Linked DNA regions of Coturnix japonica. The protein of the gene in region 2 interacts with the protein of the main gene of each other region in a biochemical or structural test. Links are inferred from orthologs where the notes say so. Each region holds a gene or a part of one and is shown on either strand. Other genes may lie near its edges. The genes, in order: PTX3 and CFH.

What was found.
Region 1: the proteins of CFH (region 2) and PTX3 form a complex in vitro, tested with the Homo sapiens proteins (3 studies listed by IntAct, with this or other methods). The link is inferred for Coturnix japonica from reciprocal best matches to the Homo sapiens genes CFH and PTX3.

Annotation. Positions count from the first base shown.
Region 1 is NC_029524.1:20,183,873-20,188,190, forward strand, and holds the start of PTX3 (pentraxin-related protein PTX3), read right to left. Parts: upstream 3,105-4,318; 5' UTR 2,825-3,104; coding exon 2,677-2,824; intron 2,327-2,676; coding exon 1,787-2,326; intron 1-1,786.
Region 2 is NC_029523.1:2,583,193-2,587,761, forward strand, and holds the start of CFH (complement factor H), read right to left. Parts: upstream 3,093-4,569; 5' UTR 3,013-3,092; coding exon 2,919-3,012; intron 1-2,918. UniProt on the Homo sapiens protein: Glycoprotein that plays an essential role in maintaining a well-balanced immune response by modulating complement activation.

The DNA.
Region 1 (4,318 bases), on a different chromosome or scaffold from region 2:
GCTGCTGTGTTATTTCAGACCACTTCCTTCAAACCCTGGGCAGATTTTGGAATGTGGGAAGTCCCACCTGAACATGAGAAAGAACTCCTTCCCCATGAGGGTGACAGGACCCTGGACAGGCTGCCCAGGGAAGTGGTGGGATCTGCAGAGGAGGGTTCAGAACCCACCTGGATGCTTTCCTGCATAACCTCCTGCAGGAGACCTGCTCTGGGGGCTGCAGAGGTCCCTTCCAACCCATATAGTTTAGGGATTCTCTTTTTCTGGGAGACCTGAGAGGCAGCTGCTGGGGATGCTCCTTAAGATGCTGTGAAGGAATGCTTTCACCAAGCAGCTTTTAGTTAGCAGGCTTTCTGGCTTTGTTATCAGGGGCTAAACAAAATTAAATCCAGCCTCACTGAAGAACAAAAAGTGTGATTAGGAAATCCCTCAAGACACGTCTGGCAGCAGTTCAAGATTAAAGTCAGTTGCAAAAAATTCCCTTGAAAAAGAAATTCCAGGCAGAGAGATACACTGGAATTACTTAAAAGGTATATTTTGAATTAAAAAGTAAGAATGCTCTCTATAAAATCATGTTGCAACTGGAGGAAATACTCTGAGTTTCCAGTGCTGAGGCTGAGGTCTCTAATGCTGATCAAGATTTGACTCTCCTACAGGGCACAGTAAATGGTGCAAGGCTGGCTGTGCTATGCGGGGAGATAAGGAATGAGCTCATGCCTTTTGGAAGGCAAGATCCATGTGCTTGGGATGGGGGTAAGGGATGTGCTGGAAGGTCTGCTCCCAGGACATGCAAGTTTACTAAAATGCTGCAGCAAATAAAGGGGGGAAAGCATAACACTGAATTCATGTTCCCCATTAAAATACAGCTTTGAGTTCTTGCTCAGCTGTGTGAGAGCTGATGGCATTGCTAAGTGGTCGCTGACGGTGCTGGTGGGGCTGCATGCCTCCTTCCTGTTGGCACACGTGCAAGACCATATGAGTGTAGGTTTGTGGGGATTTTCTTAGTTTTTCAATCTACGGGCAGTTTTATTTGTGGTACAGTGTAGTTATTTAAGATGTGGGCGCACTGAGAAAATACGCAGCCATAGTCACCAGGCTGGCAGAGCTGCACAGTTCTGCTGGGCACACAACAGTATGTGCCCATGCTTTCTGCAGCTGGGGCTCTGCTCTGCATTACCCTGCTCTATTGCTGCTGTGGGGAGTCTTGTTACAGAGCACAAGGACCCCAAGGAAATCTGAGCAGTGAGTTCATTGTTCTATGGGCACCTCACTTGCACACTGATAATCCAGAAGGAAAAAAAGTAAATGGAGGGGTATCAGGCTGTCGGCAGCTGGTCTGTGCCCTGCTGCAGTGCCCTCTCAGCTGGGGAGGAGGCTGAGGAAGGAGCAGGAATATGCTGCAGGGGGACAGGAGAGCTCAGTGAGTGGGGGGTGCACCACCTGGGGAGGTAGAAGGGAAGGCTAGTTTTTTTTTTGCATGAAATATGTTTGCTGCTCTTTGGCAGCTGTTTGGATCTAGGAGAGCTGCTGGAGGTGGGTTGGTGGCTGGGTGGCTGCTTTGCCCTGTGTGAGGGTTTTGATTAAATCTTTCTTTGATCCCATGTTTGGGAAGCTCAGAACTGCTTTCTCGAGAATGCCTGCTGAGTTGCTTCCCTGTATCTACAGCCTGCTCAGAGCCTCAGGGCTGCCCACAAGGCTGCTTTGGGGACTTACGAGGAGGAAAGCATTCACAGGACATTTGCTTGTGCCCCCAAAGAACCCTCTGGGAAACGCCCCACGCTGCACTCACCTGCTGGCAGTAGGTGCTGGGCAGCCCACTTCTGAGATGCCTTCAGTTCGGCTCTGGTCTGCTGCAGCTCTTTCCATAAGGTGTTCAAGAGAAGGTTGTCCTCTCTGCTGGGGCCAAGCTTGTCCTGCTGGAACTGGAAAGCTGTTTCTTGGGCCTCCCCCTCTGCCCATCTCAGCCAGGAGCTCTCCAGCTGGCCCAGCCTGGTGGACACGTTGTGGCTCAGCTGCAGGACCTGCTCCAGAACCTTGTCCTGCTTGAACTCACAGAGCCTCTCAGCATCCTCAGGTTGGTCTCTGTTCCTCTGCAGTGCCTGCTCCAGCTGGGCCAAGGCGTGGGAGGTGAGCTGCTGCACCGCGGAGCTGAAGGTGCCAGCGAGGCCAGCGGAGAGTTGGCTCAACTCTGCTCTGATTGCCTGCACGTCCTCCTTCAGCCCATCCTCCAGCGCCTGCAGCATCATGTTCTCCTTCATCTGTGAGTTCTCCAGCATGATGAAGAGCTTGTCCCACTCCGTGTGCTCCCGCTGGCAGTCACACGAGGCAGCTGGAAGGCAAGGCACGGATTTAAGTTTAAACAGAAGGTGTGTTTCCCAAAACCTGCCTCTGTGCAAGGCTTCAGCCTGCCCCTGCGTTTGTGTCTGTCTCAAAGCAGAAGGCAAAGCAGTGCTCAGTGCAGCAATCCTAAAACCAAGTGGTGTCTGCTGCAGGGAAACAGAAAAGTAGTGCACAGCAAACTGTGGAGCGCCATCCCAGTACCGGAGCATTGCCGTCTGCAATAACCTACTGCTACAAGCACATGGTTCCTCTTAAAATAATGCTTGTGGCTGTTACAAGAGCTGAGCAACAAAGAACGCAGTGCTGCGCTTAACAGAAATGTAGACTGTATCTACTCACATTCCTCAGTGCCCAGGACCGGACCTTCAATTTCGTTGTCCAGATTCACATACATGAGATCGTAGTCGTCATCTTCATCCAGCACGGAAGCAGAAGCCCTGAAAACACAGAACAGCATGAGCAGAGAAAGCACTCCTCCAGGCAGCATTCTGCAGCTGCTTCCTGCAAATAGCCGGGCTGGGGCTGGGCTGGAGTGGGACTGCAGCGGGGACTGCGAGGAGCCACGGGGCAGCCCCTAATAAATGCTCCGAGTGTCTCAGCTTGAATGAATGAGCGCTGCGAGTGCCAGCGCTGTAATAGGAGCACTTCTGGTTGTTGGTTTTGGCAGTGAGGAGCAGGGGGCGTGCAGCTTGCTCAATGTCAGCCCCCAGGTCTGCAGGAGGGGGGGTCGGGGAGAGCTGCTCCGCACGCTGCTGCTTCCCCTGGAGCAGAGTTCCAGAAATACACAACATGCTGGGCTGGGAGCAGGGACAGGGATTGCTGCCTGAGCCGCATCACTTGGGCTGTTCTGTGTTCTTTGTGCAAACTCCATTGGCTGCTGGTATGTGCTGCGGCTCCGGAGGGGGCTGGCAGGAAAACGTGTCTACCTGGAGCTGGTTTGGATGCGTGTGTCTGGTGTAACCCACATACTGTGGCTTTGGGGGGATTTTAATTTGGAATCTTCTCCTCTGCTAGTAGTTTGAGCTCGAAAGGAGAACTTGTAAAATAAAGACAGCTTGTTTGGTTTTTACTTTTCTAGCCCAAATTAGCAATAGCAGCTTTGTGTCCTTGCAGGTAATGTATTCTGTCTAGTTTCTTCCTTCTGAAGCCTACAGGTTAGCAGCTGCAGGATTGGAATTGTGTCTATTAACAGTCAGGTTGTCCAATTTCAGACTCAGATGAGAATCCAGAAAACGTTGATTTGAACTTCAGGTGAATTGGTGCTTTGCTGGTTACTTTTGGTTAGTTTGGGTTACTTTTGGTTAGTTTGGGTTACTTTTCCTGGTTAATTAAAAGAAAAAAATAAAATCCTTGATGAATATACAAATTAAAGAGGCACCTTCAAAAGAACCTCTGTGACACAGAAGCACTGATCCCATGGTTAGGCAGTAGTTCTCGTGCCCCTTAACTATTGTGCAGTCTCACCTGTAGCACCGGGGAGGGACAGGCACAAAGGTGTGGGTAGAGCAGCCAGAACTGAGCTGCTCACTGACCTGCCTGGGGTAACCATCAATAAATCTCCTTCATTTGCAGCTGGCTTTGTGCTCCATTCCTGGAACAGGGCAGGAATTCCCCATGGCCCTGGGGACAGAGGTAGGGCTGGAGCTTGCCCTTAAGTGCTGTAGTAGTTGTATGCAGGGGTCTGGGAGAAGCCAGCAGCTCTAGGAGCAGAACAAATGCTTTGGGGGTCAGATGCAGAGAGCTGCTGAGCAGTGCAGAGGTGGTCCCAGGGCTGAGCACTCCTGAAGGGCTCTACCTCCGGATCCTTTTGGAGCCTGCAATGAATTGCATTTCAGTTACTTGGCTCAGAGGTGGTGTTGCAAGGCTTGGGTTGCTCTTCATATATCTGGCACGAGTGTGGTGCGGTCAGGTCTGAAACATAGGTCCCACCTGGGAACTGAGCTGCTTCTCTTGCAAAATTGCAGAGCTTGGGTTTAAGTGG
Region 2 (4,569 bases):
ATATAAATGGTAAGCTGTTAAGAAGCATAACAACTTCATGTCAAGAAGGTTAAAAATATTTGTGTGTGTTTGTAATCATTAACCTAATTACAGTCACCTAGTTTTAATCTCTCTGCCTAAGTGATTGAAATGAATTTACTTTAAAGACTGAATCTTTACCAACAGTAACAGACTCTGGACAGTGTAGCTGATTAGTTACAATGTATTTTATTCTATTCAGACGTATTTACATCTGAACATCACAAGTGAGAACTGATGAAAAGCGATCTCTGAGAAATTAAACCTTAGAAAAGAAATGAGAGATGGCCTCTAGGAAAGGAAGTTTCTTGGTGAATGCAATTCATTGCTAAGCACAGAGCTGGAACCAAAATCTCAACTAGTTTAGTTGCAAGGCCACAGGTCTGAGAAAGCAGCAATGCTGACAGTCCAAGTGCTGCCTGGAAGCGACACTACAGGGAAAATATTTAGGAAATTTTTCCGTGCAAGGGGATGGAAGGGCCATCGCAGACAGAGATTAAGTAATGTGATTTCTAATACAGACTGAGCAGAAAAAAATAATAATCCTAATTCTTCTATATCAAAGGGTAAAACCTTAAAAAAGTGTAATTCTGCAGCTACGGCATTTTGAAAGTATGAAGAAAAGAATGCTCACCGTGAGATCTAATAACTTTCTTTTGACTGGCATAAGTAGGTGGGAGAGGTAGGCGAGCTTTGGAGACACTGCTGAGGTGATAAAGGAAGTGTCAGACCTCCCACAGCTTCATCATTTTCCCAGCTATTTCAGTTACTCTAAAAACAATGATGTTCCTTCCAACCAATTACTCTGAGAAGACAGCTCTGTCCACTAGAGGGTACTCTGCTATCAAAAAATGTGGTGGGGACTTCCACTTCATTAGCAAGATACATTCACATTTGAATACCTTTTTTCCCCACTCAAACTGCACTCATTCCATGCAGCCGGAGCGAAGGCAGTGCCCACTCGTGGCCAAGAGAAAGGAAAATAATTAAAAAAAAAAAAAAAAAAAAAAGTAGAAATAAGTTAAATGAAGAGTAGTCCTCCAGTTGGCTCCATCTTGCAAATGTGTTAAAAGTTTCTATTTTACCCAAGAAAGATTATCTGCAGAGGTGAAACAAGGGATTTTTCCAGTTCTGTGTATCTTTCATTAGAGCTCATTAAGCATGGTCATGCCAATACTTTCAGTTTGTAAGTAGAGAAAACAGAGTCCAAATTCTATGATTTCAAGAACAGCTTAATAATTACACATGTACTTATACACGTGACTAACTTTTCTTCCATGCATGCATCTGCTTGCTAGCAACCACAAGACTATTCAGACAATAAATGTACAGCTCAGTCATCTCACATTCAAATCAATATACCATTTTTAGATCCCGTTTATAAAAGGTTCAGAGAAATTGCACATGGGTCTTAGACATCTAAATTTATTGCTTTCAACCTCATTTGTTAAAAAACAACAACAACTTATTTGTCCAGGTTTTATACCCCGTAATTTGACCTATTAACCTATTTTTCATTTGTTACCCACAATAAATTGTATTCTCCTCTTATTTCTGATTTATACTTTTGTTGTCTGTTGTGCAGACTGGGGACTCTTTACACCTCATTGTTCACGTTAAAAAACAAACAAAACAAGACAAGAAAGAACTCCTGACAGTCTCTTCACCATTACATTATGTTTCTCCCTGGATTTCATTTCAATTCTCTGATTGTTCTTCTCTACTACTGCTCTGATATTAGTCTACGTGACAGCGTTACTGTGAAGCGCTTCAGTATGCATATGCATTTCTGACTACAGCTAATTAATACTCCTTTTTTAATGTGGTTTCTTAATAGTTTGAGAAAAAGAAATCAGCTGGCAAGATGTACTTCAAAATTACATTAATTACATCATGCACTTTGATCTGTGTACTCAACAAGTTAATTGGGATTTATTTACTTTTATATTAGCACATACAGCTTAAATGCATTCCTCCAAACACTTCAGTAGGAAACCAGAAAAGCTGGAATTAATCATTTATTAAACACTTGTGACTGGATCAGGATTAGGAATAGCTCAAATTACTTTCCCACCATTATTTTGCTTCCAGAAAGTCAAGCACAAACTGCAAATTCAGGTAGAAGTGCTCAAGCCCTTGTGAAACAAGCTAGTTCTCAAACAACTCACAGCTAAGACATACTAGCTCAAAATCACACGGTGCCTTTTTCCTAGTCTTTGTAAAAGAAAACAAGCAGTCAAAGCAAAACAGATTATTAAATGGATATTAAGCAATATGAGTACATTATCAAGGAAAATAAATTCAACAGTGAAGCAGAAAATATTAATGCAGCCTTCTGGAAAGATACCCAGAATACAAACTACCTCTTTAAGCAAGTCCCAAAGTGTATCTGCATACGTTTATCTTATTCAGTGGATGAAAAATACCATAGACCAAATCTGTCATTGAACAGTTATTTTGTAAGCCTTTCAGTATATCCAGTAACAACTTCTTTATCTCAGATTATCACACGGACTGTTTCGGACAGACAGAAATACATACTTATTGAATATCATTTATTTTAACCTACCAACTTTTTCCAAGTTCTATATTTTAGAATAATTAACAAACAAAGCAAAATACAAATAATTTGTCTAACCATAGTTTACAGCGGTAATAAACATTAAAAAAAGAAGTGCAATGGTTTAGTAATAGCAGTAGTTATCTGATAAACAGATGAAATGCTACCCACAAGAAAATACTAAATACTGAAAGTGTTAAATGCAACCAGAAGAAATGTCAATTATCGTTGTCAGAAATTCATTAAAATAGGCTTCAATTCAAGCAATTTATTTACCAATTGTTTTCATAACTGTCTTTCCATACACTTTCTTGCCACTTTTTTCCAGATTAAAGCTTACCTCTCTCTGCAGTACAATACGTCCAACATAACAAGAGAGCTGCATAGCCCAGGAAAGGCATACTAGTGATCCAGGATCTCAGAAGTAAGTGCATTTAATGCTGTAGCCAACTTTTTCGATTACTTTGTGTTATGCGCACTCATAGTTTACTCACTGAGTGACTCCAGGGACTGACCTTGCCCCATTTATACTGAGTGATTTCAGCAGTCACTTCCCCTAATTCTCTTGCAACACACACTTTTTTTTTTTTTTTTAGCTTTCCAAACTTTGCTAAATAAATAAATAAATGTATAACAATGTGGGTTGACACTGTCCTTCCCTCCCTGCAGTCTGCTCTGATAAACTTCCTTTTACTGCCCAAAAGTTGTACAAATATATACGTATATGTATCATTGCCTGTGTCTTCTATGCTTTGTCAATCAAATTCACATTAAATGCAGGTGAAAATAAGCTTCTTCTCTACACATACATCAATTTAAGATCGTTGTTGAAAATAACTGAAATAGAAAGCAGAAAAACATTGGCCGACTGGCCAAGCTTGGAGTGTTGTGATCAGTGATGCAGAGTCTGGTTGGAGACCTGTGAATAGTGATGTTCCCTGGGGGACGGTGCTGTGTCTGGTTTTGTTCAATATCTTGAACATAGCATCCACCCTCAGTAAGTATGCCAATGATACAAAGCTGCAAGGAGTGGCTGACACAGCTGAAGGCTGTGCTGCCTTTCAGCAAGACCTGGACAGACTGGAGAACTAGGCAACAGTAAACCAGATGAGGTTTAACAAGTGTAAAGTCTTGCAGCTGGGAAGGAATAATTGCGAATGTCTGTACAGTCTGAGACATGATCTGCTGGAGAGAAGCTCTGTGGAGAAGGTCCTGGTGGATAACAGGCTGGCAATGAGCCAGCAGACCAATGGAATCCTGGGGTGCATTAAAAGGAAAGTGGCCATCAGGTCAAAAGAGGTGATCCTCCCTCTCTATTCTGCCCTGGTCTGTTCAGGTCTCACCTGGAGTATTGTATCCAGTTACAATATCTGGTATGAGACAAGGATCTTCTGGAGAGAGTCCAGCGGAGGGCCATGAAGATGACATGGCCAACCTCTTTTACTCAGTTTGTGGGTGCAGGACAAAGAGAAACTGCCATAAACTGGAGCATAGAAGTTCCACACCGTTATGCAAAGGAACTTCTTCACAGTAAGGGTAACAGAGCACAGGAACAGGTTGTGGATGCACAGGTTTGTCTTCTGTATGCTCCCAAAAGACCACATAAGATACCCTTAAGATCACTGGCTTGGTTAGCCTACTGATGTAGGTTAAAACTGAGTATGCTTATTGCATGTAAAAATCTATGATGTAGGTGTAGGTTCTGTCATTTCTGCAGTTTTTATACTGTACCTTCTGATGTCACAAAACTTACAGAAGATCGAGTTTAACAAACTGTTTTTGGGTTGCTAGCTAAAATACTATGGGTACAAACCACAGTCAGACAAGGATACTTTGACCTAGATCTGAACTGAACCTGGAACCAAATTGAAAACATATTATAAATTTGTCACTTGCTCTCTATGAACACTGTGAATGTTAACGTATTTAAGCTGAAAGATAAAACTAGCACATAAAAGACAAGTATAAACCTACTGCAAATGCATTTAAAC